Linked DNA regions of Macaca fascicularis. The protein of the gene in region 5 interacts with the protein of the main gene of each other region in a biochemical or structural test. Links are inferred from orthologs where the notes say so. Each region holds a gene or a part of one and is shown on either strand. Other genes may lie near its edges. The genes, in order: RPS6KA1, ABCC4, SLC34A1, CFTR, PDZK1, CYSLTR2 and CRHR1.

What was found.
Region 1: the proteins of PDZK1 (region 5) and RPS6KA1 interact in a test that uses a peptide from one of them, tested with the Homo sapiens proteins (2 studies listed by BioGRID and IntAct). The link is inferred for Macaca fascicularis from reciprocal best matches to the Homo sapiens genes PDZK1 and RPS6KA1.
Region 2: the proteins of PDZK1 (region 5) and ABCC4 form a complex in vitro, tested with the Homo sapiens proteins (2 studies listed by BioGRID and IntAct, with this or other methods). The link is inferred for Macaca fascicularis from reciprocal best matches to the Homo sapiens genes PDZK1 and ABCC4.
Region 3: the proteins of PDZK1 (region 5) and SLC34A1 form a complex in vitro, tested with the Homo sapiens proteins (2 studies listed by BioGRID and IntAct, with this or other methods). The link is inferred for Macaca fascicularis from reciprocal best matches to the Homo sapiens genes PDZK1 and SLC34A1.
Region 4: the proteins of PDZK1 (region 5) and CFTR form a complex in vitro, tested with the Homo sapiens proteins (2 studies listed by BioGRID and IntAct, with this or other methods). The link is inferred for Macaca fascicularis from reciprocal best matches to the Homo sapiens genes PDZK1 and CFTR.
Region 6: the proteins of PDZK1 (region 5) and CYSLTR2 interact in a test that uses a peptide from one of them, tested with the Homo sapiens proteins (2 studies listed by IntAct, with this or other methods). The link is inferred for Macaca fascicularis from reciprocal best matches to the Homo sapiens genes PDZK1 and CYSLTR2.
Region 7: the proteins of PDZK1 (region 5) and CRHR1 form a complex in vitro, tested with the Homo sapiens proteins (2 studies listed by BioGRID and IntAct, with this or other methods). The link is inferred for Macaca fascicularis from reciprocal best matches to the Homo sapiens genes PDZK1 and CRHR1.

Annotation. Positions count from the first base shown.
Region 1 is NC_088375.1:208,563,921-208,567,830, reverse strand, and holds part of RPS6KA1 (ribosomal protein S6 kinase alpha-1), read left to right. Parts: intron 1-2,672; coding exon 2,673-2,753; intron 2,754-2,919; coding exon 2,920-2,999; intron 3,000-3,910. UniProt on the Homo sapiens protein: Serine/threonine-protein kinase that acts downstream of ERK (MAPK1/ERK2 and MAPK3/ERK1) signaling and mediates mitogenic and stress-induced activation of the transcription factors CREB1, ETV1/ER81 and NR4A1/NUR77, regulates translation through RPS6 and EIF4B phosphorylation, and mediates cellular proliferation, survival, and differentiation by modulating mTOR signaling and repressing pro-apoptotic function of BAD and DAPK1.
Region 2 is NC_088391.1:86,099,407-86,103,316, forward strand, and holds part of ABCC4 (ATP-binding cassette sub-family C member 4), read right to left. Parts: intron 3,514-3,910; coding exon 3,304-3,513; intron 1,670-3,303; coding exon 1,529-1,669; intron 791-1,528; coding exon 753-790; intron 365-752; coding exon 270-364; intron 1-269. UniProt on the Homo sapiens protein: ATP-dependent transporter of the ATP-binding cassette (ABC) family that actively extrudes physiological compounds and xenobiotics from cells.
Region 3 is NC_088380.1:184,329,618-184,333,527, reverse strand, and holds part of SLC34A1 (sodium-dependent phosphate transport protein 2A), read right to left. Parts: intron 622-3,910; coding exon 552-621; intron 284-551; coding exon 116-283; intron 1-115.
Region 4 is NC_088377.1:158,981,580-158,985,489, reverse strand, and holds part of CFTR (cystic fibrosis transmembrane conductance regulator), read right to left. Parts: intron 3,483-3,910; coding exon 3,393-3,482; intron 2,514-3,392; coding exon 2,350-2,513; intron 1,222-2,349; coding exon 1,096-1,221; intron 1-1,095. UniProt on the Homo sapiens protein: Epithelial ion channel that plays an important role in the regulation of epithelial ion and water transport and fluid homeostasis. Mediates the transport of chloride ions across the cell membrane.
Region 5 is NC_088375.1:113,739,799-113,743,708, reverse strand, and holds part of PDZK1 (Na(+)/H(+) exchange regulatory cofactor NHE-RF3), read right to left. Parts: coding exon 3,803-3,910; intron 2,744-3,802; coding exon 2,548-2,743; intron 286-2,547; coding exon 89-285; intron 1-88. UniProt on the Homo sapiens protein: A scaffold protein that connects plasma membrane proteins and regulatory components, regulating their surface expression in epithelial cells apical domains.
Region 6 is NC_088391.1:27,835,788-27,839,697, reverse strand, and holds part of CYSLTR2 (cysteinyl leukotriene receptor 2), read right to left. Parts: intron 982-3,910; coding exon 1-981. UniProt on the Homo sapiens protein: Receptor for cysteinyl leukotrienes. The response is mediated via a G-protein that activates a phosphatidylinositol-calcium second messenger system.
Region 7 is NC_088390.1:67,418,981-67,422,890, reverse strand, and holds part of CRHR1 (corticotropin-releasing factor receptor 1), read right to left. Parts: intron 1,832-3,910; coding exon 1,759-1,831; intron 1,509-1,758; coding exon 1,423-1,508; intron 1,249-1,422; coding exon 1,113-1,248; intron 956-1,112; coding exon 914-955; intron 336-913; coding exon 195-335; coding exon of another isoform or gene 146-194; 3' UTR 1-145.

The DNA.
Region 1 (3,910 bases), about 95 Mb from region 5:
GCCTAGGCGATGAGAGCAAAACTCCATCTCAAAAAAAAAAAACAAAGGAAAAAGAAAATGTAAGGTGACCAAAATAGTTAACTCTGGTGTGGTCCCTGTCGTGTCTAGTGAGGAAAATACAAAAATTAAAATAGAGGAAGGGGCCCACTGATGTGAAAAGTGCTCTGAAGGGAACCAGCTCTGTAGCCCTGTGTGCTGACACAGAAGGCGTGTTGGAAGGCAGCTGCAGCTTCTACTTGTAGCAAGGGCCGAGGATTGTGTCCCGAACAAGACTCTGGAAAGACGTGCAGGAGGAGCACATTGGCCAGATCTCCTAAGATAAGCAACTGTGAGCATCAATTCTAGAATGGCAGTGACGATTGAATAGAATTCATACTAGATGGATGGACTAGTGAAGGCTTTGGGACTATGAGGCTGGAGAGGAAACTGCCGATCCAGTACATGGACCAAAAAAGCCTTTAGTTTTGCACTGTGTGTATTGCTCAGACATTTTGTCTGGTCTTAGTAAGCATTCCTTAGCCTTCCACCTCTCCTTTTAATAGAAGTCAAGGCCGGGTGTGGTGGCTCATGTCTGCAATCCCAGCACTTTGGGAGGTCAAGGTGGGTGGATCATTTGAGGTCAGGAGTTCAAGACCAGCCTGGCCAACATGGTGAAACCCTGTCTCTACTAAAAATACAAAAAAAAATGAGCCGGGTGTGGTGCGCCTGTAATCCCAGCTACTCGGGAGGCTGAGATACAAGAATTACTTGAATCTGGGAGGCAGAGGTTGCAGTGAGCCAAGATCACACCACTGCACTCCAGCTTGAGTGACAGAGTGAGACCCTGTCTCATAAAAAACAAACAAAAAAACAAAGGCCACATGAGAGGTCTCAGTCAAGGGATAATCAATATTGTAATAAACTTAAGTTGAAACACAGTGTCCAAAATGAACCTAAGCAGCCAAGTCCAAAAGCCTATTTTTTTTTTTTTCTTTCCCACGACAGAGTCTCGGCACATGCCACCAGGCTGGCTACTTTTTTGTATTTTTTACTAGAGACAGGGTTTCACCACGTTGGCCAGGATGGTCTCGACCTCCTGACCTCATGATCTGCCTGCCTTGGCCTCCCAAAGTGCTGGGATTACAGGCGTGAGCCACCACACCTGGCCCTAAAATTTGTATTTTTTTTTTTTTTTTGAGATGGAATCTCACTCTGTCGCCCAGGCTAGAGTGCAGTGGCGCAATCTCGGCTCACTGCAACCTCCGCCTCCTGGGTTCAAGCCATTCTCCTGCCTCAGCCTCCCTAGTAGCTGGGACTACAGGTGCCGCCACCACGCCCGGCTAATTTTTTTTGTATTTTTAGTAGAGACGGGGTTTCACCGTGTTAGCCAGGATGGTCTCGATCTCCTGACCTTGTGATCCGCCCGCCTCGGCCTCCCAAAGTGCTGGGATTACAGGCGTGAAAAATTTGTATTTTTAATGCAGACAGGGTTTCACCGTGTTGGCCAGACTAGTCTTGAACTCCTGACCTCAAGTGATCCACCTGCCTTGGCCTCCCAAAGTGCTGGGATTACAGGCATGAGCCACCCCCGGCCCAAAAGCCTGTTCTAATCACACTAGAAAAATCAATAGGCCGGGCGTGGTGGCTCAAGCCTGTAATCCTAGCACTTTGGGAGGCCGAGACGGGCGGATCACGAGGTCAAGAGATCGAGACCATCCTGGCTAACGTGGTGAAACCCCGTCTCTACTAAAAAAAAAAAAATACAAAAAACTAGCCGGGCGAGGTGGCGGGCGCCTGTAGTCCCAGCTACTCGGGAGGCTGAGGCAGGAGAATGGCGTAAACCCGGGAGGTGGAGCTTGCAGTGAGCTGAGATCCGGCCACTGCACTCCAGCCTGGGTGACAGAGCGAGAGCAAGACTCTGTCTCAAAAAAAAAAAAAAAAGAAAAATCAATAAAACATGATACTTGGTGGGCTTCAATAAATTTAGAAGGCAACCTGAAAAAGAGAAGAGTGCTCTGAAGGAGAAGCACTGTAGGAATCCAGAAGGCCCTAACTCAGCTTGGCAAATTAGGGAGTGCTTCCTAGAGGAGGTGAGGCCTAAGCTGAGCCAAAGAACCTGCTGAGAGTCAGAACTGCCCGACAACTTTTATTCTTTGAAAAAAAAAAAACATATATGAAGGGTGCCCGCCTAGACCCATGGATCGGGATTTTAGGCCCAGGGAATCTGCCTCTCTAGCTCCCCAGGTAGCCGTTCTTACCAGCCCTGACTGGAATTTGGGAATTTTTATGCCAGATGGAAAGCAGGGCTGGTGAAGGCGTGCCAGGGGGAGGTGCAGAGGCAAAGTCTGAGGATGTGACAAAACAGAGCACCTGGGGAGCAGGTTGCTCAGACTGGCTGGTTAACAGGCCTTGATGGGGCGTGGTGGGAGAAGGGACCAGAGAGAAGGGCAGGGTGCCAAGGCCCCAGCTGTGGGCACTGCTGTGAGGGGTGGGAGCAAGGAGCCAGCCAAGGAGCCAGAAACAGACTGGGAAGGAAGAAACCTGAGGATTGAGTGTCCCCAAAGCCCTGGGTGAGGGGGCCTTGGGAGCTCAGGCCTGGAGGAACAAGTGGAAAAGAGATCCCTTAGCGGGGGCTTGGGAGTGACTGTGTTGAGTGTCTAGACTACTGGTGACTTCCTTTCTCGTCTGGCCAGTACGTGACCGTGTCCGGACCAAGATGGAGAGAGACATCCTGGCTGATGTAAACCACCCATTCGTGGTGAAGCTGCACTATGGTAAAGCTGCAGGCCCTATCTGAGCTCCTCCCCTACCCATCTTTCACCCTTGCCTGTGGTCTGTACACTCTCCCACCGCCTGCCTGGTAGGCCAAGGGAGCCAGGGCTGAAGGGGCAGGTCGTAAGGCCCGGGTGACTCTACCATTGCCTTTCTCCCTCTCCCCAGCCTTCCAGACCGAGGGCAAGCTGTATCTCATTCTGGACTTCCTGCGTGGTGGGGATCTCTTCACACGGCTCTCAAAAGAGGTGAGCTGACATCTACTGCCAGAGGGCCCCGGCATGGAGCTGGGGGACAACAAGGTCTCCCATCCCAGGGCCCTGTACAGAATGTGTTCAGATGGCTTGAATCTGGAACCACCCAGGCCTGCCTAGCAGCCCCTGGCCCGGGAAATACCATTCACCCTCGGATGGAGGCCATACGCTGGCAAGGTCTCTGAGAGTTTCTCCCAAGGAAACTCTGGGGAGCTAAGGGTTCCTCTCACCTCCGCACCTGCATTCTTCCAGGGCTGCTCTGAGCAGAGGTGTGAAGATACGGGAGAAGCCCAAAGTCACCCAGAGAGCCAGACACTTCAGCAGTCATCTCCCATATGTCATCCAACAGGATTTTGAACCAATATAAAAGGATTTGAGGCTGGGCGCAGTGGCTCACACCTGTAATCCCAGCACTTTGGGAGGCCGAGGCGGGCGGATCAGGAGGTTAGGAGATCGAGACCATCCTGGCCAACATGGTGAAACCCCGTCTCTACTAAAAATACAAAAATTAGCTGGGTATGGTGGAGTGTGCCTGTAATCCCAGCTACTCAGGAAGCAGAGGCACAAGAATCGCTTGAACCTGGGAGGCAGAGGTTACAGTGAACCAAGATCGTGCCACTGCACTCCAGCCTAGTGACAGAGCGAGACTCCGTCTCAAAAAATAAAAAAAAAAAAAGATTTGAGCTAGAAAATGGGGTCATTCATACAATTCAGACTTTAAAGAGAATCTAGCCTTTTTTGTTTTTTTTTAATTGTAATTTTTTTTTTTTTTTTTTTTTGAGATGGAGTTTTGCTCTTGTCACCCAAGCTGGAGTGCAATGGCAGGGTCTCAGCTCACTGCAACCTCCGCCTCCCGGATTCAAGCGATTCTCCCGCCTCAGCCTCCCGAGTAGCTGGGATGACAG
Region 2 (3,910 bases), on a different chromosome or scaffold from region 5:
ACATATTTCCAGTGGCTGATTTTCTGAATGCTCAATCCTGGTTTAACTTTCAAAATCCAGTACAGAGCACATTAAGAGTCTTCATTCAACCTCTTTCTTCTAGTAGATTTTTAAAATAATTATTCTAATTAATTCACAGAGTAAATTCGACTGAGACTCCTAATCTGTTAAGACATTACTGAATTACTCCTGGAAGCCCTAGTTACTCACACAGGCTCATTGTAAGCACCTCAGCCTCTCATATAATAGACCAAATGATTTAACTTTACCTGAATAAATTCCTAAGTACCAGTTAAGATCTAGCTTCATGGTTACATTTCCTCCTCCATTTACAGTGACATTTAGCGTACTTTGTTGGTTTGCCCTATGGAACATGGGGAGAAAAAAATATTAAGCTATATATGGAATTTAGAGAAATACCTTTTTTTAAAAAAATGAACCACAATTTGAGAGAAATGCTTTATGCTGGAAAATGATTCTCAGCTCATATAGTCCTGTGTGTATCTACCTCATAAAAATTCAATTTAAATCACGACTTTCAGTTCCCGAAACTGTCTGTGAACATGATGCCGCAGATCAGACATGGGTGGAGACCACCACAGGTTACACTCCACCAGCAAGCACTCTAACTTTTCTTCGGGTAAACTAAGTGAGGATTAGGAGAAGGATCAACAAATATCTCCCCCTAACTCTACGGAAAAGCGAGTCTTCTTACTGATGTTTGACTATTTCATACGTCAGAAATAACTTACCAGTACGAAAGCCACCAATCTTGAAGAACATAGGCAACCTAGGAGGTGAGAAACAACAAAGACAAAAATCAAACTTGGGCATGACTTACCAACTCAAAACTCTCAATCACTAACATGGACAATTGAAAGAAAGCCCTCAAAGCTGTGCATGGTGGCTCATGCTTGCAACCCCAGCACTTTGGGAGGCTGAGGCAGGCAGATCAACTTAAGGCCAGGAGTTCAAGACCAGCCTGGCCAACATAATGAAACCCTAGGTCTACTAAAAATACAAAAATGAGCCTAGCCAGGCATGGTGGCACATGTGCCTGTAGTCCCAGCTACTCCGGAGGCTGAGATAGGAGAACTGCTTAAGCCCGGGAGGCGGAGGTTGCAGTGAGCCAAGATTGCGCTACTGCACTCCAACCTGGGCAACAGTGCAAAACTCCGTCTCAAAAAAAAAAAAAAAAGAAAAAAAGAGAAAAAGAAAAAAATAGAAAGAATAAAAAGCTCAGAGAACTTGCATAGTTCTTCCAGCTCAGGTCTACGCTGAGCCCAAACTCCCAGATATCAAGAACTCAAGAAAACGCATGTTCCATTTTAAAATCATTGAAAGATACCCTTTTTTTCCCGCAGAAGGTCTTTGTAATGGGACACCACTAGGCAGCCCTCACTTTGTTCCCCAAAGACAGCACATTTCAATTCAGATCCCAAGTGAACTGCAAGATGCAGTCAAAATAGCATAAACACAGGTACTGTAAATATCATTTTGAGGGCACAAAACAAATGTCATTATTTACCTGAGCTGCAGTGTTTAGGAGAATAAGGAAAATGATGACAATCCAGTGAGCACCAGCTCTGAAGTAATTCTTATAGGCCTGAAAACCAACTTTTCCTTCAGAACGGTTCTCGTCTGAGAGTGTAACTGGGACATTCTCCGTCTGCAAAGGAAAGGGTGGTAAGAGACAAAATCGTATACAAAACTGTTCCCAAAGATGACAATGCACTCTGTTGACAAAGCTGTGGGGAAACAGGCAGAAGTCCAAAATGATCCATCTCCTGTGGAGAAGGGTGTGGAAATATCCAGCCAAACTATACATGTACTTACTTTTTATTTATTTAATATTTTTTGAGACGAAGTTTCACTACTGTTGCCCAGGTTGGAGTGTAGTGGAGCGATCTTGGCTCACTGCAACCTCTGCCTCCTAGCTAGGTTCAAGCGATTCTCCTGCCTCAGCCTCCTGAGTAGCTGGGATTACAGATGCCTGCTACCACGCCTGGCTAATTTTTGTATTTTTTAGTGGAGACAGGTTTTCACCATGTTGGCCAGGCTGGTCTGGAACTCCTGACCTCAGGTGATCCTCTTGCCTCAGCCTCCCAAAGTGCTGGGATGACAGGCATGAGCCACCACACCCAGCTACATGCACTAATCCCTGGACTCAGCCATCCCACTTTCAGGGTTCTACTAGAGGTAAGGAAATATCATTTGTACACTGTGGCATGGCTTGCTGGCAGGATGACATCAGAATGTCCAGCACTTACCGAGCACATCCAAATTCAAGTATACATACAGAAACTTGTTCCAAAATCATGTACAGAAAGATATGGAACTCTCAACTGCATCACTCAATATGGAAGCATAAAAGAGCAGAAGGTCAAAACATGAGCTCAATACAGTAACTGGGTTCAAGCAGTGAGTCTGAGTAACCAGAGTTTGGAAAGCAAGGGATAGCATATGATCCTAATCTGTTTGGTTCCTGAGTTTCAGAAATTGACTCCTGAGAATTTGGCATGTGAGGGCCTAATCTGAATATCTGCAAGAATCCTTCAGGCTCCTGGATTTGGATAGTGAGGGTTAGTGTGGCAAGGAATATCTATGTTTTTAAGTGAGCTCTGGTACATTTCTGCCTGGAGGACTTAGAAGGCATGAGATTCACATACTCTGAGGATGCACTGAGCAGCTCTATGTTGGCCACTGGGAATACCAAGATGAGTAAGATGCAGCTCCTACCCTTGAAAGGTAAAGAAGGAAGATGGGCTGCTGTGTGTCAGCAACTGTTGGGTCTTTGCACGTGCTACTTCTAGCCTAACATAAACCATCTGACAACAGGGCAAAATACCTCCCTCAGCCACGTGCGGCGTCAGAACATTCCAATATATAGGAAAAGTGGCTAACTTCATGTGGCCCACAGCAGGACTTTCTCTAAGGCGGTCTTCAAATTATGCCTCTGGATGCAAAGAGAAGTCGGGGGCCACCAGACTAACTAGGACTTCACTACAGTAAATTCAAGAATTGTAATATTAGCGTGAGTCACACACAGCTTGGGACTTGCACCAGTACACACACCTGCTACTCATCTCCATGACATTCCCAGCCTACACGCAAAGGATTACTCCAACCAGAGTTGTTTGCCTTGGTTCTGTTTTAATCTACCAATATCACGGAACAGGGCCTTGAAACCACAGAATCTACTTTGGGACAAAAGACGATGCTTCAAACAGAGGAGACTAAAGATCCATAAGGCCATTAGCAGTCAACAAAACCAGGCCATGTTGTAACAGGAGGTAAACTCACGTCTTGGGTCTCCACAGCACCATCTTTCAAGGAGGGTCTAGAAGATTGCTGAGACCAAACCGAAGACTCGGAGAAGGTGCGATTCCTCAGCGTGGGAGTTCCTGGAACTGGAAGTTGTTCGCTTTCCTCGTTGTCCTTCTTCAAAAGGGAGCCAAAATCTATACCAGATTTTAGGAACTCAGTGTAAGTCCCCTTCTGCACCATTTTACCCTAAAATAAAAATAAAGAATTTCAGAGAGATACATTTGCAGGTGACAACGTTAACCTAATCTAATTCTAATCCAGAAAAGGTAACTGATCTTAAATTATGATTATACTTAGGTCCGGAATCCTAGTTGACAAATCTAATACAATTCAACCTGATACACAACCGGGTGCTCTGTTCTCAGCCAGAGCCCATGTTAGGTACTGAAGAATATTTTTTAAATGGTAATAGTGTGTTGCAAATGGCGATCATTATCACATAGATGTTGGTGACCGTATCGGTAGTCTTATTACACATGAAAAACTGAGATAAGCCTTATGCAATAAGAATTGAAGGAATGAGTAAATTGAGAAGGATATTCCAGGAAAGAAACCTAACACTGATAGGGGGGTAGGACCAGGC
Region 3 (3,910 bases), on a different chromosome or scaffold from region 5:
CAGGAAACAGGCTCAGAGATGGTAGGCTTTACCCAGATCAAGGCAGTCACAGGACTTAGCAGGATCTGGAAAGGCCCATCCTGCGGCCCTGCCCAGTCAACTGCTCGCAGCTCACCGGTATTGATGACCTTCTGGATGACCTTGGCCACTTGGCCCTTGAGCAGGGAGTTGAGCATCTTGACGAGGAGGATGAGGCAGGTGCACAGCAGCACCAGGGATCCTGCCAGCAGGATGAGCCCCACAGCCAGGTCCGGTAGGCTGGTGTCCACAAAGATGTGGTTGCCTGCAGGGGGTGGAGCTCCTGACAGCTGACCCCATACCTGGCTCCCAGGTCCCCACCTTTGCCACCTGGTTGGACTCTGAGCCTAAGGCCCCACCTCAGGCTCCTTGAGCCTTAACACCGGAGCTTGACCCAGGCTCAGGAGATGGGCTGGTTGACAGCTGTCCTTCCTGGGGCTGGACACAATAGTGGCTGGCAGCTGGTGCAGGATTGCCCTGCCACTGCTAGGCTCTGCCCCTGCCATTCTGGACACCATGTTTCAGGCACTTACATTTCTCCATGGTGGCATTTCCAAGGGTCTGGCTGGAGTTGGCCTCTGCTCTCGACATGGAGGTGGGAGCCTACATTAAGAGGAGGGTGACTTAGTGAATTAGGAAAACATAGCCTGAGGTTGGAGCCGAGATGGGGGTTAGGGAAGGATGGGGAAGATGGAGATGGGCCTCCTGCTCTGTGACCATGCATGGGTCTCTTGCCCTCTCTGAGCCTGTCTCTTCCACTGAGGACATGTAGATGAAAGTAGCTGCCACACAAGAATCTGGCCCTCTGTGTGTTCTGCCCTGTCGTTCCACTGGCCCAGCTCTCCCCAGGGCCACATCTGTGGCTTCCTGTCTTTCTTTTCCTCCCTCTCTCAGTGGCATTCCGTGCTGCTGAACGTGTTCCTCTTTGTCTGAAAACTCCCCCTTCCTCATCTTTTATTACCAATCCCTTTATTGGTGCCCCTTCCCCAGCATCCTGGCTCCTTCCTCTCCTCCAAGACACCCTTAGCCCAAGCTCCATTCTCCTCTAGATCAATTCCTTATTCTCAGGGGATGTGGGGGGACAGAGGGCCCAGCCCACACATCTCTTCTGTCACCTACTGTCAGTGAAACAAAGGGGCTCCCCAGGGAGGCCGTACAATTCAGAGGGCCACAGGGCTGGGCAGGTAACCTAAGTGAGCAGCTCGGGCTATGTGTGGAAGAGGTGGGGAGAGTTTCTGCTGGGCTTATAGAGTCAGCAGTTACTCAGCTCCTGGTCACTGTCACCATCCAGGGACGCAGCCTGGCATGGCTAAATTGCCCAATTTCTATGAGAGAAGCCACAACTCTGAAGTTCTAGATAAAATCTCCCAATCTGGGCCAGGTGCAGTGTCGCTCATGGCTGTAATCCCAGCACTTTGGGGGCTGAGGTGAGAGGCTTACTCAAGGCCAGAAGTGGGAGGCCAGCTTGGGCAACATAGCAAGACCCTGTCTCCACAAAGAAAATTAGGGCATGGTGGTGTATACCTGTAGTCCTAGCTACTCAGGAGGTTGAAGCAGGAGGATCTCTTGAGCCCAAGTGTTCGAGGCTGGCATGAGCTCTGATCACGGCCCTGCACTCCAGCTTGAGTGACAGAGCAAGACCTTATCTCAAAAAAACAAAAACAAAAACAAACCCCAAAAGCAACAAACTCCCAATCTGTAAATATTGGCAACCACTTAGAGTTATCTTTACAACTCAAAGAAGGTCAGCAGAAGCAGGCCAGCCTGGCCTGTGGACAACTAATTTTTAGCCTTGTTGGGCTAGTAAGTTATTTATTTATTTATTTAGAGACAGAGTTTTCATTCTGTTGCCCAGTCTAGAGTGCAGTGGCACAATTTCGGCTCACTGCAACCTCCGCCTCCTGGGTTCAAACGATTCTCCCGCCTCCACCTCCTGAGTAGCTAGGGTTAACAGGCGCCCGCCACCACGCCTGGCTAATTTTTTTGTATTTGTAGGAGAGACGGGGTTTCGCCATGTTGGCCAGGCTGGTCTCAAACTCTTGACCTCAGGTGATTCACTGCCCCCCCTCGGTCTCCCAAAGTGCTGGGATTACAGGTGTGAGCCACTGCGCTGGCCAAGGTAAGAAATTTTATGGCATCTGGTGTAATATCCGGGTTTATTTTAGCGGGATGTGCTCCCTAGAATGGGGCAATGTGCTCTTGTGTGCTCCCAGTTCGCCACATCAGGGCCTTGTGGACCCATCAAGACTGGGCCTGAATGGCAGGCCAAGAAGCCTGGAAAAAATAGGTTGTGCTGGGCTAGATGGGAAAACCAAGCTGGAAAAGCGACGGTAACTACTGCGAGGGTAAGGGAGAGAGCGAGCCAGCTGTTTGCTGTTAGGCAGATGTAAGTTCAAATCCTGCTTCTTATACCAACCACCCTGGGTAAGCCATGCCACCTCTCAGAGCCCGTTTTCTCTAACGCAGGGTAAGAGAAGAGCTGCTGTGAAGGCTGCAGGGGGAAATGTGTTTAAAGCGCTCATCACAGGGCTTGGCTCATAGTGAGCCTTCGGTAAACTGTCTTCCTACACGGAGTGACCGTCTCCCTCCCTGGGCCTGCTCAGGACCACATGGCGGGGAGGCTGTGTGTGTGACTGACTTCCTAGGTCAGGACCAGTGCCCCCTGCCGACGAACCTGAGAACCCTGGCCCTGTTGGGGAGGAATCTGCTTGGACCTTCCTGGGAGTACCCAGCCTGGGGGCTGAGGGAGCAGACAACCCCTTGAATGAGTGGGTGCCTGGTCAACCTGTGCCCCACTGACCTAACCTGGGCTGGGCCCAGAGGTCTCTGTGGGGAGGACTGTGGGGTCCTGGGGAGGCTGGAGGAGAATGGGGAACTTTACTGGGGTCCCGACTTAGGACTGGCAGGGGCAGCAGCAGGGCCAAGCCCTCTGGGTTTTTAGAACCTTGACCTTCTTGCGTGGGGCTGTGTGGCCCTGGCTGGGAGGCCAGAGACCCTAAAGTATAAGAGAGGAAGGTAAAGGTGGCAGGAGGGACAAAGCCAGGCGGAGAGGGAACTGCCAGGAGGGAGCAGGCCCTGGGGCTTCCTTGTGGGGTAGAGGGAGAAGACGGAAACTCCAGCTTAGATAAAAGAGCTGGGAGGCCCAGGATCTGGGGGCATCTTCCCAAGATGTGCCCATCCCTGCCTGGGCCTGGGGTTGGGTAGGAGAGGCCGGAGGGACCTGAAGCAGGTGGTGGGCTCTGTGGGAAGAGCAGAATTGGCCTGTGGACAGCCCTAGGTCCATACCCCAGCTGAGCCACTCCCAGCTGTGTGACACTGGAGCAAACACTTAGCCTCTCTGGGCCTCAGTTTCCTCCTCTGCAGCATGAAGTCCATAATGCTGCCCACCTTTTCCCAGAGGCTATTTGGCAGCATTATGGAAGAGGGAGTTGGGATTTAAGTGCCTACAGGGACACCCTAAATTAAAGAGACCCCTTCTGGGAACTGAAGGAGGTGATGAAGCTCACAGAAGCCTGTCAGGATGTGGGCCTGCGCAGTAGTTTCCCCCACAGAAGAAGGGGCGCGCTAGGGCCTTTGTTCTTCTGGAAGCAGAGGGAGAGCACTGTGCCAGCAGCACCATCTGGTGGCGAAAAGGAGAACTCCTCCTTAGAGTAACACCCGCTACCTCTGGGGTGGTCTCCAGGGGGCTGTGGTCACCTGGTGGCCTTCAGGCCTGATGGGCAGCATGGGAAACAGACATATATAGTAGAATGTCAGACCGGTGAGTGGGAGAGGCAACCAGATAGAGAGTCAGGATTCCACCAGGATTTGTATCCTACAAGCCACTGGACTTCTCTGGGGCTCAGTTTTCCTCATCTGTGAAATGGGGGATGTGATAATCCCTGCCTCCCAG
Region 4 (3,910 bases), on a different chromosome or scaffold from region 5:
AATTCCTTTCCTGGATTTATCTTGAAATGCATAACAAAAACAGGTGACCAATAATGTTTGGGAAATAAATACTCTTTTACTCTTTCTGTTTACATGGCAAAGGACTTAATATTTCAGCATTTCTTTTGTTGTTCCAATCACACACCTGCAGCTCAGTTACCATTGTGTACTGGACTCAGCAGCCTGAATTCCTCATAACCCATACTGACACCATCCATAAGGGTACTTCTCTTTTTAGTATATTTTTCCCTGTGAAATTCTCATGTGCTGAAATTATTTGTTCCTTGAACAGTGTATCAACTTTCACTGAGTCTCCTAGAACCTTTTTAGATTGGAGTTTGTAGAACATGGAGCTCAACTGAAGAAAAATGGTCTCATTGCTACAGAAATGCTATAGTTTACATCTTGCCCAGATTTATCTCAGTAATCATAACTCAGTCTGCGCTGTACTTTCTTTGTTGGATATAATCCTTACTAATCAGTGAAAGGTTATATGAGGTGAAAGAACACTAGAGATAGGTGCCAAGTACTGATGCTATCTCAGGAGGTAGCTTTCATTACTTGAACTGACTTCACTTCAAGTGGAGGATTTATAGGAACCCAATTTGTGAATACTACCCTATGTCATTCCCAAGTTAAGGAAGAGCAAACATATTCTAACCAGACACAAGTTTTTTCATGGTTAATGTACCGTAACACATAAATTAAGATATAATAATAGAGAATCATTTATTTGGTTCAGAATTGTATACTCTACCAGTTCCATCTGAGTTACCAATCAGCCTTCAATATCTTGATCATTATTTTAATGAAATAAATGTATTGAGCAGCAGTGAACACATGTAGGAAATTCTTTAATAAGGTATCAATATAATATACTTGCAGCGCAAAATAACACCCTGGACTAACTACATAAAACTACAGCCCATGAAAGTGAATTTGTGCAACTAATGTATGAATATTGAGAGAACTTAAATGCAATCATTTGATTGTCAGAAACATCAAATAAGAAGTGGAAGTCTACTGTGACAAACATATTTTTTAAATATTAAGGACAGAATTACTAACAACATTGAAATTACTGGAACAACTTACTGTCTTAGGTTTTCAATCATTTTTTCCATTGCTTCTTCCCAGCAGTATGCCTTCACAGATTGGATATTTTCAATCATTTCTGAGGTAATCACAAGTCTTTCATTGATCTTCCCAGCTCTCTGATCCCTATAAATCAATCAATCAATCAATCTAATAGTAAAAACAAGTCAAATTATCTACTAAGAACTGCTCAAGGTTTTAAGTCATATTTCTTTTATTCGACAGATGGGCATTTATTTTATTATCAAATAGATGGTAACAAAAATAATAATTACTGTTTAGTAAATGCCTCCTATGTGTCAGATATTGTACAGACTCATTCCATCTGCCATCTCTATCCCTTACAACAGTCTATAAGCAGTGGGTATCTCTATTTTAGAGATGAAAAAAGCAAAGACTCAGTGAGATGAAGTGGCTTGACTAAGGTCACATAACTAGTAAGTATGCAATCTGGGATTCAAACAAAGTGCTATTTGACTCCAAAATTTATATACTTTCTATCATACTCTAGCTGACAAATTCAAGCCCTTTATCATAAGCAGTGACTTGTGTAAGTCATTCATTCACTAGTATTAGTTATTCTGTAACACAAAGTAACTAAGGCTCTGGTGTGATGATCCATAAACCAGAGTAGTAAAAGCTAATCAACTCTACACAAAAATTAGGTATTCCCTTTAATTCACATAAATGTTTTATCCATTTTTTAACTGTTTTATAATCTAAAAAATGAACTGAATCAACATATTTATAAACAAATTCAGGAGACTGAGAAGCAAAAAAAATGTCCCATTGATACAGGAAGTAATATTTATACCATCTTAAAAAGTCTTTTTTAGGCCGGGCGCGGTAGCTCATGCCTGTAATCCCAGTACTTTGGGAGGCTCTGAGGTGGGCAGATCACCTGAAGTCGGGCATTCGAGACCATCCTGGGCAACCTGGTGAAACCCTGTCTCTACTAAAATACAAAAATTAGCCGGGCGTGGTGGCATGCGCCGCTAATCCCAGCTACTCCGGAGGCTAAGGCAGGAGAATTGCTTGAGCCTAGGAGGCAGAAGTTGCAGTGAGCCAAGATCGTGCCACTGCACTGCAGCCTGGGTGACAGATCTAGACTCCATCTCCAAAAAAAAAAAAAAAGTCTTTTTTAATGACACTGAAGATCACAGTTCTATGCATAGAGCAGTCCTGGTTTTACTAAAGTGGACTTTTTGAAAACATAATTTTAAAAACCTTCAAGCTATGAAAATAGGTTGCTACCTGTACTTCATCATCATTCTCCCTAGCCCAGCCTGAAAAAGGGCAAGGACTATCAGGAAACCAAGTCCACAGAAGGCAGAGGCCTGTAACAACTCCCAGATTAGCCCCATGAGGAGTGCCACTTGCAGAGGAACGATCCACACGAAATGTGCCAATGCAAGTCCCTGGAAAATAAAAGCACAGCAAAAACAGGTGTCATTTTATCTTCCACCCCTAGAAACAAACAATCATATATGAAAAAAAGCAAGTAAAAGGAGCTTATATGGTCAAACACTTCGTGGTTCTGAGCACAGTAAAATCTAGGTAATCATTACATGGAGCACATAACAATGTGCTTAAACATTCTACACATAGAATAGGTTTCCCCAAAGAACAAATTTCAAGCCAGTGCACTTTTAAGCATATTTTTATTCAGTGGAATTGAGATTGGACATGTTAAGTTATCATTAGTCCAGGTTTTAAGTAACTTACTTTTTTTGCATAAAGCAAGAACCACAGCACAGAACATGAGAGAACAAAGAACTCTCTCCAGAGACTCAGTCTACACAACTGCACAACTCTGTCATTTGATAGAGACATTTAGAACAAATATTTGCTCAATTCAACAGTAATTAATTTTGTACCAGCTGTGGGTCTCATGCTATTTTAAGTACTGGATGTGCAAAGATAAATAAAACACATCATATGTCCCAAGGACCTTGAATTTATTTATCACATAAGACAACACAGAACAAGAATTGCTCAGAGTATCATATTCAGCCAAAGTATATAACAGATTTAAAGTTTTAAAAAGAAGCATGGTCTGATAAGAATTAAGTTTTGAAAAATCTTATTAACAACAGGCTGAGGTGCCTTTGAGTTGGGTGGTTCTACCAGACCCCAGGATGGTGTTCTGCTATACAACTGACCTTTCTCAGTTTTCAGAATAGGGAAGCTAGAGCTGAGCAAGACTTAACCACTTATCTGATACAGGAAAACTCTACCTTTCCAGTTGTATAATTTATAACAATAGTGCCTAAAAGATTAAATCAATAGGTACATACTTCATCAAATTTGTTCAGGTTGTTGGAAAGGAGACTAACAAGTTGTCCAATACTTATTTTATCTAGAACACGGCTTGATAGCTTTAAAGTCTAAAAGAAAAATGGGAAGTTAGATAATTTCAACAAACAAAATACAAATATATTATAAGTAACATTATAATATGACTAATTCAGTTATTATGCATTCATTATTAAGTAAAGGTAATGAAAATTATGTTCTATTCATCTAGCTTACTATCATCTTAGATTCATAAATATTTCTTTTAACAGTCAATACTATACTGGAATGCTTCTAGTTGTTTTATTTTCCAGCATCTAGAGAGAAACAATTATTTTTTCTCCTCACAATGAGAATGGTATTATACTTAAATACCATTTATACCGTGTGGGAGTTTTTGGTTTTGTTTTAAAAGATAGAGCCAAAGGTACTGAAATTTGAAATTAAGCCTTGGCCTTGAATTTTTCATGTAGTTCTATACTAACTCATTTGGATAAAATTACTTTTAAAGTCAATAAAA
Region 5 (3,910 bases):
AACAAAGTCCTAACTCAGTGCAAAGGTTGAGGGCATGAGGGAATGGGCCCAGCCTTAATGCATGAATATATGGCCTTGTATTACTTACCAGTCTGTACATGTTGTCCGTCTCTTTGTCTACCACCAACAGTGAAGTCTGATCTCCACCCTTTCTAATCATTTCCACCACACTGTCATGATCCAGGGTTTCCACAGATTCGCCATTGACAGCAACTACCAGATCATTGTTCTTCAAGCCAGCCTCCTTTGCTGGACTTCCAGAATCTATGTCCTTGATGATTTGACCTGTCCTCCCCCCACCCCAAAAAATAAAATTATCAGTAAGTCCCTTAAAAAAAAAAAAAATTTCTGCTGGAGCCTAAAGCCCTGATGAAATAGATGTAAAAAGCATGCTGAGTACAACTATAGTCCCTTCCACCAGCATCCCAGGAAGTTTATAAGCACACTATCTAGGCTCATTTCCTGCTCAGAACTCGCTCCAGAAATTAACCCAGCCATTAACAATGAAGGGGTCTTAATGGAAATAATCATGTTACTAAAAGTGCCTGATATTCAATTTTGGCACAATAGCATATTAAAAGACTATAAGTTCCCAGGAAGTCAGTGGGCGTACTTGTAGCCATTCTTCTTATGTAAAAGCTGTCATTAAAGGACAGGAAAGAATAAAGAACAAAACCTAAAACTTTGGACCTTAAGAAACCCATGCTGGCATTTTAGTAGCAATTGGGTGTATTCAGTTGGGAATGTATTTGTATATACATGCCTCCATGTGCCTTTGGCCTTCTGGTATCTTTACCAGATGCTGCCAGAGCTCTTTTTTTTTTTTTTTTTTTTTAAACAAGCTCCTGTTTCCCTTTTCCAGCTAGTTGCTGGGTATCTCCAACAAAACATCTCATAGATCTCTCAACTGTAATGTATTCAAACCAAAAATCAGCTCTGCCCATTCTCCACCCCAAAGCCCCTCCTCTTGGTTACCTGTTAGTGGAGCAACATCCTCCTAGCCACCAACACTTGGCAACTGATTCTTCCCCAGCATCCAGTCCCCATATCTAGATGATTGCTAAGTCCTCTCATGCTACCTTAATATCTTACACATCCCACTTCCTCCACCCTGAATGCAGTTTGTGTTAGTTCCTGCCTAGAATTCTATGTAAACTATGACAGCACCTTCCTACTGCTGTCCCTTCCCCAATCAATACAGATCGGCCTTCAGATCCATCTTGATGCACATTCTTAACCACGTCACTCCCTGGTGCAACAGAATGAGCATGGGCTTTGGAACTAAACAACTATTTGACCTTACATAATTACTGTATCTTCTCCAAGCCCTCAATTTCAGCAGTTCTTCCCGCATAATTGTTAGGAGTAATTGAGACGTGCAAAGCCCCCAAGACATTATAGGCTGTTTTTTTCTTCTCCCTTATACTGCTCAAAAAATAACTCCCCATCATCTAATGAGCCAAGTCCAAACTCGTCAATCTTGCATAGAAGTTCCCTTGTCACCTCTCTCCAGCCTACCCTTCCAACGAATTCTTGCACCACGCATCATGTGCCAACTAAACTGTGCCCATGTCTCCTGACAGTGTTCACATGACTCCCCCCTTCCTGGAATGATCTTCCTTGTCCCAGCCCTGCCTACTTTCCCAAATCTATTCATGTTACAAAGCCTGAACTCAAGGGCCACCCCTGCTATGAGGGCTTCTGGTACCTTTTTAGTGAGAAAAGCTTACTCTAACCTTGAATTATCACAGCGCTTAATCTGCCCCTGTATGAAGGTACTTAACCTCTATCTCCCTTCATTGTGGACATAAGTCCCTTATCTCTTATCTACTAAATGGTAGACTCCTTGACTAAAGAATTCCTGTCTGATTCATATGATATTGTTTCTCCAAGGCACTGAGGATGTTTTTACAAAACACAAACCAAATTAATATTTGATAAATTAATGTAAACATAAAGTGAAAAGAAAATAACAACTTATGGGTGAGTAACAGTTTATACGGCCTGAACTCATGTTCTTTTATGTATTTACCTTCCCTGAAAGAACCTAGTGTTCTCCCTGTTGAGTTGCAAAGAAGGAGGACTCCTGGTTCTGAGTCCCAGATCCTCACCCACACCTCGGCCTCAGGTCCAGCGGTGTGCTATACTGGCTCACAAAAGCCAATTCTGTGCAACACTTCGTTGTGTTCAGTGACATCTTGTTAGTAAGTTGAAATTGGACATGGGAGGAGTATTTACATCACAAAAACCAACAAATGCTACCAATTTGTATTCCACCACCACCCCCGCCCCCCGCCAGAGAGCCAGCTTACCAGGATACCATTGCCCAGATCCCAAATTCTGCCTTATCATAATGCTACGGAAACTTTTGATGCCCAATATCAGAGCCTCATGTGACATAGACTCTGACCCAGCTGTGCCTTCTAGTTTCTTGCTGTGTCCCTCATGCATCTGGTTGGAAGTTGGGAGTCTAATGGAACTCTGGAGTCAGACTGGGATGAGGAATTTGTTGGTTACACTGCCAAGTTTCCTGCTGTTGTACCTTACCTTTCTGTTCTGAGCCTGCCCTCAGATAGAAACCATAACCATTGCTTCCTTTCTTCATCTCCACAATTCGGGGCTGGTGGGGTAACAGTTTGAAACTAGCCGTTTCTCTTTTGAATTGTATCTTCTGCTCAAGGTGATGCTTGTCAGTTTCTTTGTCCACCAGCAGGAACATGACACGGCTTCCTGACTTCTTCACCTGTAACAACACACACAGATGAGGAACAATATCAACCCCCAAGAACAATGCTGGGGGATAAGAACGTTTCTGTATAAAGGCACACAGTCTCTAGGTTCAACAAAAGATAGGGGATAGAAGGCCTGAGTTTAAGCTGTTACACTATGTCCTGCCAGCTAACTGATACGTATCTATCTCCACTTCTAGAGTTGTTTTCCCTTATTTAAATATGACCCACCCACATAGGTACTAACTGAGCCCAAGTAGGAGCTAGAATTCAGAAAACCCATAAAGGTACCTAGATAAAAGCTAGAACAGGAGTTTGGAAAAGAAAAGAAAGTAAGAGTCCACGTCAAAAAATCATTCTACAAAGAGAAGAGAAGGTTGGTCAATTTTTAAGGTTCCATATGACCTCAAAGGAAAATCTCAGTTATATCCCACTTCCTATTAAAGCATTTCAGTATTATCGGCTCAACAGTGAATTTATTGTAAATTCAGAGGGCACAGTGACACACGCCCATAATCCCAGACTTTGGGAGGCCAAGGCGGGCAGATCACTTGAGCTCAGGAGTTCAAGACCAGCCTGGCCAACATAGTGAGACCCTGTCTCTACAAAAAAAAAAAAAAAAAATACAAAAATTAGCCAGGCGCAGTGGTGCACACCTGTAATCCCAGCTACTCAGGAAGCTGAGGTGGAAGAATCATCTGAGCCCAGGAGGCCGAGACTACAATGAGCTGAGATGGTGCCACTACACTCCAGCCTGGGTAACACAGTGAGACCCTGTCTCAATCAGACAGTTCAGAGGGGGCTCCCAATCCGATACAAACAAGATCCAAAAGGTAAGGTTAATAGTTTTGTAGACCTTATGTGAAATTAGGGAAGGCTTTATTCCAAAACCTGTATTAACACTGCTTATACCACTAGTGAGAGTCTGTTCACCCTTAATATGAAGGGGCAACTCAGCTGGATATTTTTTCCCATCATAAACTCATGCTGTCCCCTACCACCCCTGTCTTTCTGTCACCTCCAATGAGAATAGAGTGGAAGATAGGGCAAGAAAAGTACCCTTTGGGGCATACCTTTTCAACCACTTCCTCGTGGCTGGCATCCTCTACATTCTCTCCATTCACTTCAATCAAGTGATCATCAGCCAGAACTCCAGCTTTCATAGCCACACCTTGAGGTGT
Region 6 (3,910 bases), on a different chromosome or scaffold from region 5:
TATGGATGGCCTTTTCGGAGTGCAGACCTTAGTCTGTCCTTAAAATTCTCCCCAGCAAAGTAATAGAGCAGAGGATTGAAGCATGTATTGGCTGCCGCCAAGGCCAGTGTGATAACCACAGCTTTATGCAGCCTGTCTTCGCATATATCCACTTTCCATTTCACCAAGTGAAGGGTCCTCAGTGTGTGATAGGGCAAGAAACACAAGAAGAAGATGATCAAGGTGATGATGACGGTGGTCAGTGCCTTCCTGTGAGAAACCCGCAGCCCCGATTCTGGGACCTCCACTTTTAACAGAGCCCGAATGATCAGCAGATAACAGATGCTGAGTGTGAAAAACGGCAGCAGGAAGCCCACCACTAAGGCAATATAGTTCATGGTCTGCAGCTTAGTAATTGTGTAGAGATTCAGCTCTAAGCATGATATGACACTGCCCTTCTGCTGAGAGCCATTGTTGAGGAGCATTACTGAGGAAGCCATGGTAAAGATCCATATGATCCCACATAGGATCCAGGCACTCCTGATGCTGGTGACATGCAGAAGCCGAAAGGGGTGAACAGTTGCCAGGAAACGCACAACACTCAGCACGGTCAGGAAATAAATACTGCTGTACATGTTGACATACAAGGAATAAGACATAATCCTGCAGGCCAGGTCTCCAAATATCCAGTCGGAGCCTCTAAGATAATAGTCAGCCCTGAAGGGAAGTGTGCTTATGAACAGGAGATCTGAAATGGCCAGATTTAGCATGAAAACATTCACAGATGTGGACTTCTTATAAGGCTGCAGGAAAACATATATGGACAAGCCATTTCCCAAGACTCCCCAGACAAATATTATCAGATATACAACTGGGAAAAATTCTCTCTTGAAGTTTTCAATTGTGCAGTTTCTGCTGTTGTTGTTACTGCTGAAGGTGCCATTTGGTTCCATTTCTGATACGGAGATGGATGGATGCAAGGACATAAATTTTCTTTCCATGCTGGGTTAAAAAGAAACAGACATAAAAAGTTACTTTGTGAATTTCCCTTTTTCCTTCTTGCTTACCGATTACATCTCTCTAGGTTTTAATGAAACAGGGAGCAATACTATCTTTTCTTTGAAAGTTGAGTTTTAAAACGCTGGTTAAGTCTTTAATATATGCTGCATTACACTTCATAATAAATTTAAACTTCCTGATTTTTGAATATAGAATAGCCATTAATTTGTTTGGTCGAAGTTGACACTTCAAACTTAGGGAACTTGTGACCTGGTGCCCATGTTGACATGAATACCTCCCTGTGATATTGCAGCCTAAAACTACTGAATAACAGATTTCTCATCAGAAACTGTGGAGGACAGAAGGAAATGGCACATTTCTCAAATGCTGAAAGAAAAGACCTGCCAACCTAGCATTCTACGTCCAGCAAAAACATCCTTCAAGTACAAAGAGAAAATCAAGACTTTTTCAGACAGAAAACTGAGACTTTGTTGTCAGCAGATCTATCTTAAAAGAATGACCAGGCTGGGCATGGTAGCTCACATCTGTAATTCCAGCACTTTGGGAGGCTGAGGCTGGTGGATCACTTGAGGTCAGGAGTTCAAGACCATTCTGGCCAACATGTTGAAACTCCGTCTCTACTAAAAATACAAAAATTAGCTGGGCCTAGTGGCAGGTGCCTGTAATCCCAGCTACCTGGGAGGCTGAGGCAGGAGAATCGCTTGAATCTGGGAGGCAGAAGTTGCAATGAGCTGAGATCATACCATTGCACTCCAGCTTGGGCAACTAGAGTGAAACTCCATCTAAAAACAACAACAACAACAACAACAACAACAACAAATAATGACTAAAGGAAGTTATCTAAGCAGAAAGGAATTCATAAAATAAGGAATCTTAGAATATTAGAAAATAAGAAAGAACATGGTAAGCCAAAATATGTGTAAATACAATAGGCTGTCCTTCTCTTTTAGAGTCTAAGTTACATTTAATGTTTTGAAATAAAAACGTTAATGCTGCCTGATGTGGTTTTAAATGGATGTAGAGGAATTATTAAGACAATTATATTATAAATGAGGGAAGGTAAAGAGATGTAAGAGGAAATAAGTTTTCTATACTTCACTTGAATTGGTAGAATGATGATGCTAATAGACTATCATAAGATATATATACACATATATATCTTTATATATATATCTTTATGTATATACATATAGATCTTTATATATATACATATATATATCTTTATATATATATATATAGAGAGAGAAAATACCTAGAGCATCCACTAAAATGATATACAAAGGGATACACTCAAAAACATTACAGATAAATAAAAATGGAATTCTAAAAAGCATTCAGATAACCAACAACAACGCAGGAAAAAGAAGAGAGACAATAAAAACAGAAAACAAAAAATAAAATGGCAGACATCCTGATTCATCAATAATTACATTAAATATAAGTAATCTAAATATACCAATTAAAAGATAGAGGAATGGAATATATTTTTTAAATGACCCAATTATGTACTGCCTACAACAAACACTTCAAATAGCAGTATTGGCTGGTTGAAAGTAAAAGGATGGAAAAATGCTTGCTATTCAAATCAAAGGAAATAAGGGATAGCTCTTTTAGTATCAAATAAAATGGACTTCAAAGCAAAGGACATTGCCAGAGACAGTGAGGGACACTATATAATAATAACAGGGTTTAACCACTAAGAAGACATACCAATTCTAAATGGGTATGCACCAAACAACAGAGTGGCAAAACTGAAGCAAAACTGATAAAACTGAAAGGAGAGATACTTGGTGACTTCAAGGACCTCTCTCAGCAATTGATGAAGCAAATAGACAAAAACTCAACAAAGGTATAGAAAAACTAAAAACACCATCAACAAACAGGATCAAATTGACATGTATAAAACACTTCACCCAACAAGAGCAAAATACTTAAGCTTTTAAGTGTTCACAAAACGCATACCAAGATAAACCACATCCTGGGACATAAAACAAGCCTCGATAGATTTCAAATAATTGAAATAATATAGAATGTGTTTTCTAACCACAAGGGAATCAAACTAGAAATCAGCAGCAGAAAGATAACAGGAAACCCTCAAAACACTTGAAAACTAAACAACACACTTCTAAATAATCCATGGGTCAAAGAGGAAGTCTCAAGGGAAACAAAAAATATATTGAACTGAATAAAAGTGAAAATATAAATTTGTGAGATGTAGCAAATGCAGTATTAGGACAAAACTGTATAACACTAAATGCATACATTACAAAAAGGAAAAGTCACGAAATAAGAATATAAGCTCCATCCTCAAGAAGAAAAAAGCAAGCAAAAGGAAGGAAATAGTAAAGAGCAGAAATCAAGAAATAGAAAACAGAAAAAAATAGGGAAAAAATGAAATGAAAAACTGGTTATTTGAAAACAATCAATACAATTGATTACAGGTGCATGCCACCATGCCCAGCTATTTTTCTTTTTTGTAGAGATGCTGTCTCTCCATGTTGCACAGGTTGGTCTTGAACTCCTGAGCTCAAGTGATCCTACCACCTTGGCCTTCAAAGTGTGAGATTACAGGCGTGAGCCACCATGCCTGGCCAGGTAACTTTCTTATAGTAGCAGAACAGATGAAGACAATAATGAACTAAAAATTGCATATATTAAATAAAATATTACATCTCCTGACAAATCTTTAGCAAGAGGTACAAAAAAAAATAGAACAGACATAAATTTCCATTGTCAGGAATAAAACAGGAGATAACACTATCGATAGATACCTGAGGCATCAAAAGAATAATGAGAAAAACTTTGAATAACCCTACAAACATAAATTTCACAACTTAGAGGAACTAGACTAATTCCTCATAAAATGAAAAATAACTCACTGAACATTAAGTAGATAATTTGAATATCCCCA
Region 7 (3,910 bases), on a different chromosome or scaffold from region 5:
TGACTTTCCACTCATGAGCTACAGTCCTGCACAGCTGCAGGGGGAGAGTGGCCCCCCAGGCTGTCAGTGCCAGCTGCTCCTGGGGGAGTGGGCATGAGACCTAACAGGTCGCGTCCACAGGCAGGGTGGTCAGGGAGCCTGGCCATCATCCCCCCAGACACAGCTCTTTGGGGGCTGCTCCATGACCTGCCAGCTCAGACTGCTGTGGACTGCTTGATGCTGTGAAAGCTGACACGGGTGGGGGAGGTGGGGATGGACATGGCGCGGGCCACTCGGGCACGGATCGAGTGCTTGTCCTGCCACCGGTGCCATCTCTTCCGGATGGCAGAGCGGACCTGTGGGCACAGGAAGGAGCATGACATCTGAGCCTGGCGCTCAGGACCCCCTCCCTCCCCTGGGTCGGCATGAGCAGCTGCTCAGGTAAGAGGCTGTGCAGGTCAGCTGAGTACACAGAAGTCCTCAGGAGGCGATGGCACTCACAGCCTTAACATGGCTGCTTTGCATATTTGCCGGAACAGGTTTCTCAAATGTCCTGGGGAAGGGGCACCCTTTTCTAACCCACGCGAAGACACCATATGGCCTTTGCCATCAAGGCTTCCTGCTCTCAACCCACACATATCCCCTGCCCAGGGCTCAGCCCTTCCTGGTTGTCACAGGCTCATCAAAGATACTGGAGCTCTGGCTTCCAGCCTGGTGCCAGCGGCCTCTGAGAGCAAAGGAGAGAGCTGTCACTGTGGGAGTGGACAGGTGGGAGGGGCCGGCCTGGGGCTCCCAGCAGCATCCCCCTAGGGACCTAGGAGGAACAGGGAGGGAGAGAGCCAGCCCTGGGAGGGGAGGAGAAGGCTCTAGACTATCGCCAGCCCCAACAGGCCTTGCAGCCCTGAGCCCCGCCGCAGGGCCCCCAGGTCCTCACCTCACTGTTGAGGAAACAGTAGAACACAGACACAAAGAAGCCCTGGGGAGGAGAGAGGAGGCGTCAAAGGTCGGTCACAGGTGTTGCCCACCCAGCCTCTGGGCTGCCCCTTGCTTCTCCCTGGCCTCCTACCCTCCAGGCATCTGCTTGGGAGAATCCCCACCCAAGGAGGTGCCAGTGTGCCCCTCCAGGGCTGTACCTGGAAGGATTCCAGGAAGGAGTTGAAGTAGATGAAGACGACCCGGGAGACCTCATCCTCCCCGGGATTGACGAAGAACAGCATGTAGGTGATGCCCAGGAGGGGCAGCAGCACCAGAGTGGCTTTCACAGCCTTCCTGGGGTGGGGCAGGTGGGGAGGCTTGGAGTCACAGCCCACCCCAGGACTGGCTGCCCGCTGGCTCAGCAGAGGGCCAGGTCGGGGGAGGGAGTGGCAGGTCTCTGGCACGTGAGAGGCATGGGGAGCAGGGGTTTCATCAGGGGGAGGCCTGGGGGAGGTGGTACCCGGTTACCTGTACTGAATGGTCTCAGACGTGGTGGATGCCCGGAGCTTGGTCATGAGGATGCGGACGATATTGAAAAGGAAGATGAAATTGATCTGCAATTTGAGCACACCAGCAGGCTGGAGTGTGCAAGAGGCTGGGGACCCAGGCTTCTCAGTTCTGGCCTCTCTGGCCTCAGTGCTCCTGCTGTTCTCCCTCCTCCTCAGGAGCAGCTGCACATCCCTGGCCCATGCCCCCTCCTTGGGTGGCCCCCACCTCTAGGCAGAGGGGTCCTTTCTGTCCACGGTTGGCATTGATCGCCCCTCCCCACTGGGCCCTGTCTCCTGCCCCTACCCAGGGTCTTACCAGCAGGACCAGGATCATGGGGCCCTGGTAGATATAGTCGGTGTACACCCCAGGCCTTTTGCCAAACCAGCACCTAGAAGGCCACAGAGGAAAGGGGAGGAGTCATCATCTGCATCTGCCTCGGTGGCATGGGGAGGGACAGTGCTTGGCCAGGATAGGACTGGGGCTGGAAGCCAGGAGGTAGATGTCCCAATTCCAACCCTGGCAGAAGGTCAAGTCACTTGATCCCACTGCCAAGCCTCAGTTGTCCCATCTGCAGAATGGACAGCATCCTCTGTGATGAGATGCAAAGTTGGAAGCAAGCATCGGGGCAGGAGGCAGACAGTGGGAAAGACTGCGTGGCCGGGAATGGGCGTGAGCTCAATACGCAAGCTGCATCCTTGGCTCCTCCTCACGGTCCCCTGGCTGTGGCTGAGGCCCAGCATGTCCTCTGGGGGGCTGCTGGTGGGAGTGGTACCACACGTGTCACCCAGTGGGCACCCAGCAGTTCTCAATCTCAGCCTGAACCTGTCCAATCGCAGCCCGAACGACCTTGAGAGGAACATCTGCACAGGTTCTACCTGCTGCAGGGGGTAATTGCTTTGCATTTTCCTGAGTGTCCCTCCAGCAAGCTCCAGGGAGGCCTGGGGAGTGGGTGGGGACCAGACAAACTGGAAGCCCTTATGTCCCCGTGGGTAAGAAGACCCCCAGTGGCTAGATCTCATAAGCCAGAAATTGAGATTTGTATACGAAACCTTTGGATTTTTTAAAGCTTGGCTACAAAATCGAGTTTCCAGAAAACACCCTGCCGGCCACACACAGCTTCTGTGGGCTGGGTCCAGTCCTTGAGCCTCTGGTCTGCAAGTTCGTTTCTGCTTTCTCACACCCAGATCCCCTCTGTTGCAGTGTTGAATTTTCACCACCAGGTGGGGCTTCAGAGCCGCTCAGACTCACTTTCTCCTTTAGCCCAAACAGTTTTTGTTTTGCTTTGTTTTTTGAGGCTTGTGGAGTCTTGCTCTGTTGCCCAGGCTGGAGAGCAGTGGCACGATCTTGGCTCACTGCAACCTCTGCCTCCTGGGTTCAAGAGAGTCTCTTGCCTCAGCCTTCCCAAGTAGCTGGCACTACAGGTGCGCACCACCACACCCAGCTAATTTTTGTATTTTTTTTTAATAGATATGGGGTTTCACCATGTTGGCCAGCCTGGTCTCAAACTCCTGACCTCAAGTGATCCACCCGCCTCGGCCTCCCAAGGCCTCAGCTAGCCTGAGTCAGGAGAGAGTCAACCTCCTAAACACGCAAGATAATCTTCCAGGCTCCTTCGTCAGCCCAATGAAGCCATGCAGGCCCCCTCCCCTCCGTGGGGTGAGGAGAGGGCTTGTCACTGTGGTGGAGGCCACTTGGACGCCAGGTCAGTCAGTCAGATAGGTTCCTGGGAACACCTGTTTGGCAAACAAGGTCCTGGGGCTCCCCTGCCATCCACGTCCACCTTTTCTGCCCCCCCCTCTCTCAGTGGTTCTCAATCTTAGCTGCACATTAGAATCACCTGGGCAGTTTTCAAGAATTCTGGGTGCCAGGCCACACCCCAGACTAATTACACCTGACTCTCTGGCGGTGAAGCCTGGGCACTGGTACTTTTCGAAGCATCCCAGGTGATTCTAATGTGAGCCAAGGCTGAGCACCACTGCAGCAGAAATCAAGTTTCCAGGCACGACTGGAAACACCTGAGTCCGTTTCATAAGGAACCAAAGAACTTCAGAGCTGGAAGAAGCCTCTGGGATCATCTAGGTCCACTTCTGTTAAATTCACGGACTCTTCTATTAAGATGTCTTAATATTACGAGAACACATTTATACAGCATTTGCTCTATGTGCCAGGTCCGATTCTAAATGCTTAATATAGATGGACTGATATCACCCCACAACAGCCCTTTGAGGAAGTATGTCCATTTTATAGATGAGGAAACTGAGGCACGCTGCAGTAATCCGTCCAAGGTCACACAGCTATTTAATGACGGAGCCACGATTCTGAACCTGGGCAGTCTGGCTCCAGGCTGCTTCCTGTGTAAGCTCAAGGCAGATAAAGGAGGCTGGATCCTGTTTGTCCAGTCCCACCCAGGCAGAGCACAGGCAGGGACCCTCTGAATGAGTCCAACCCCCCAGATCCCTCCCTTTAC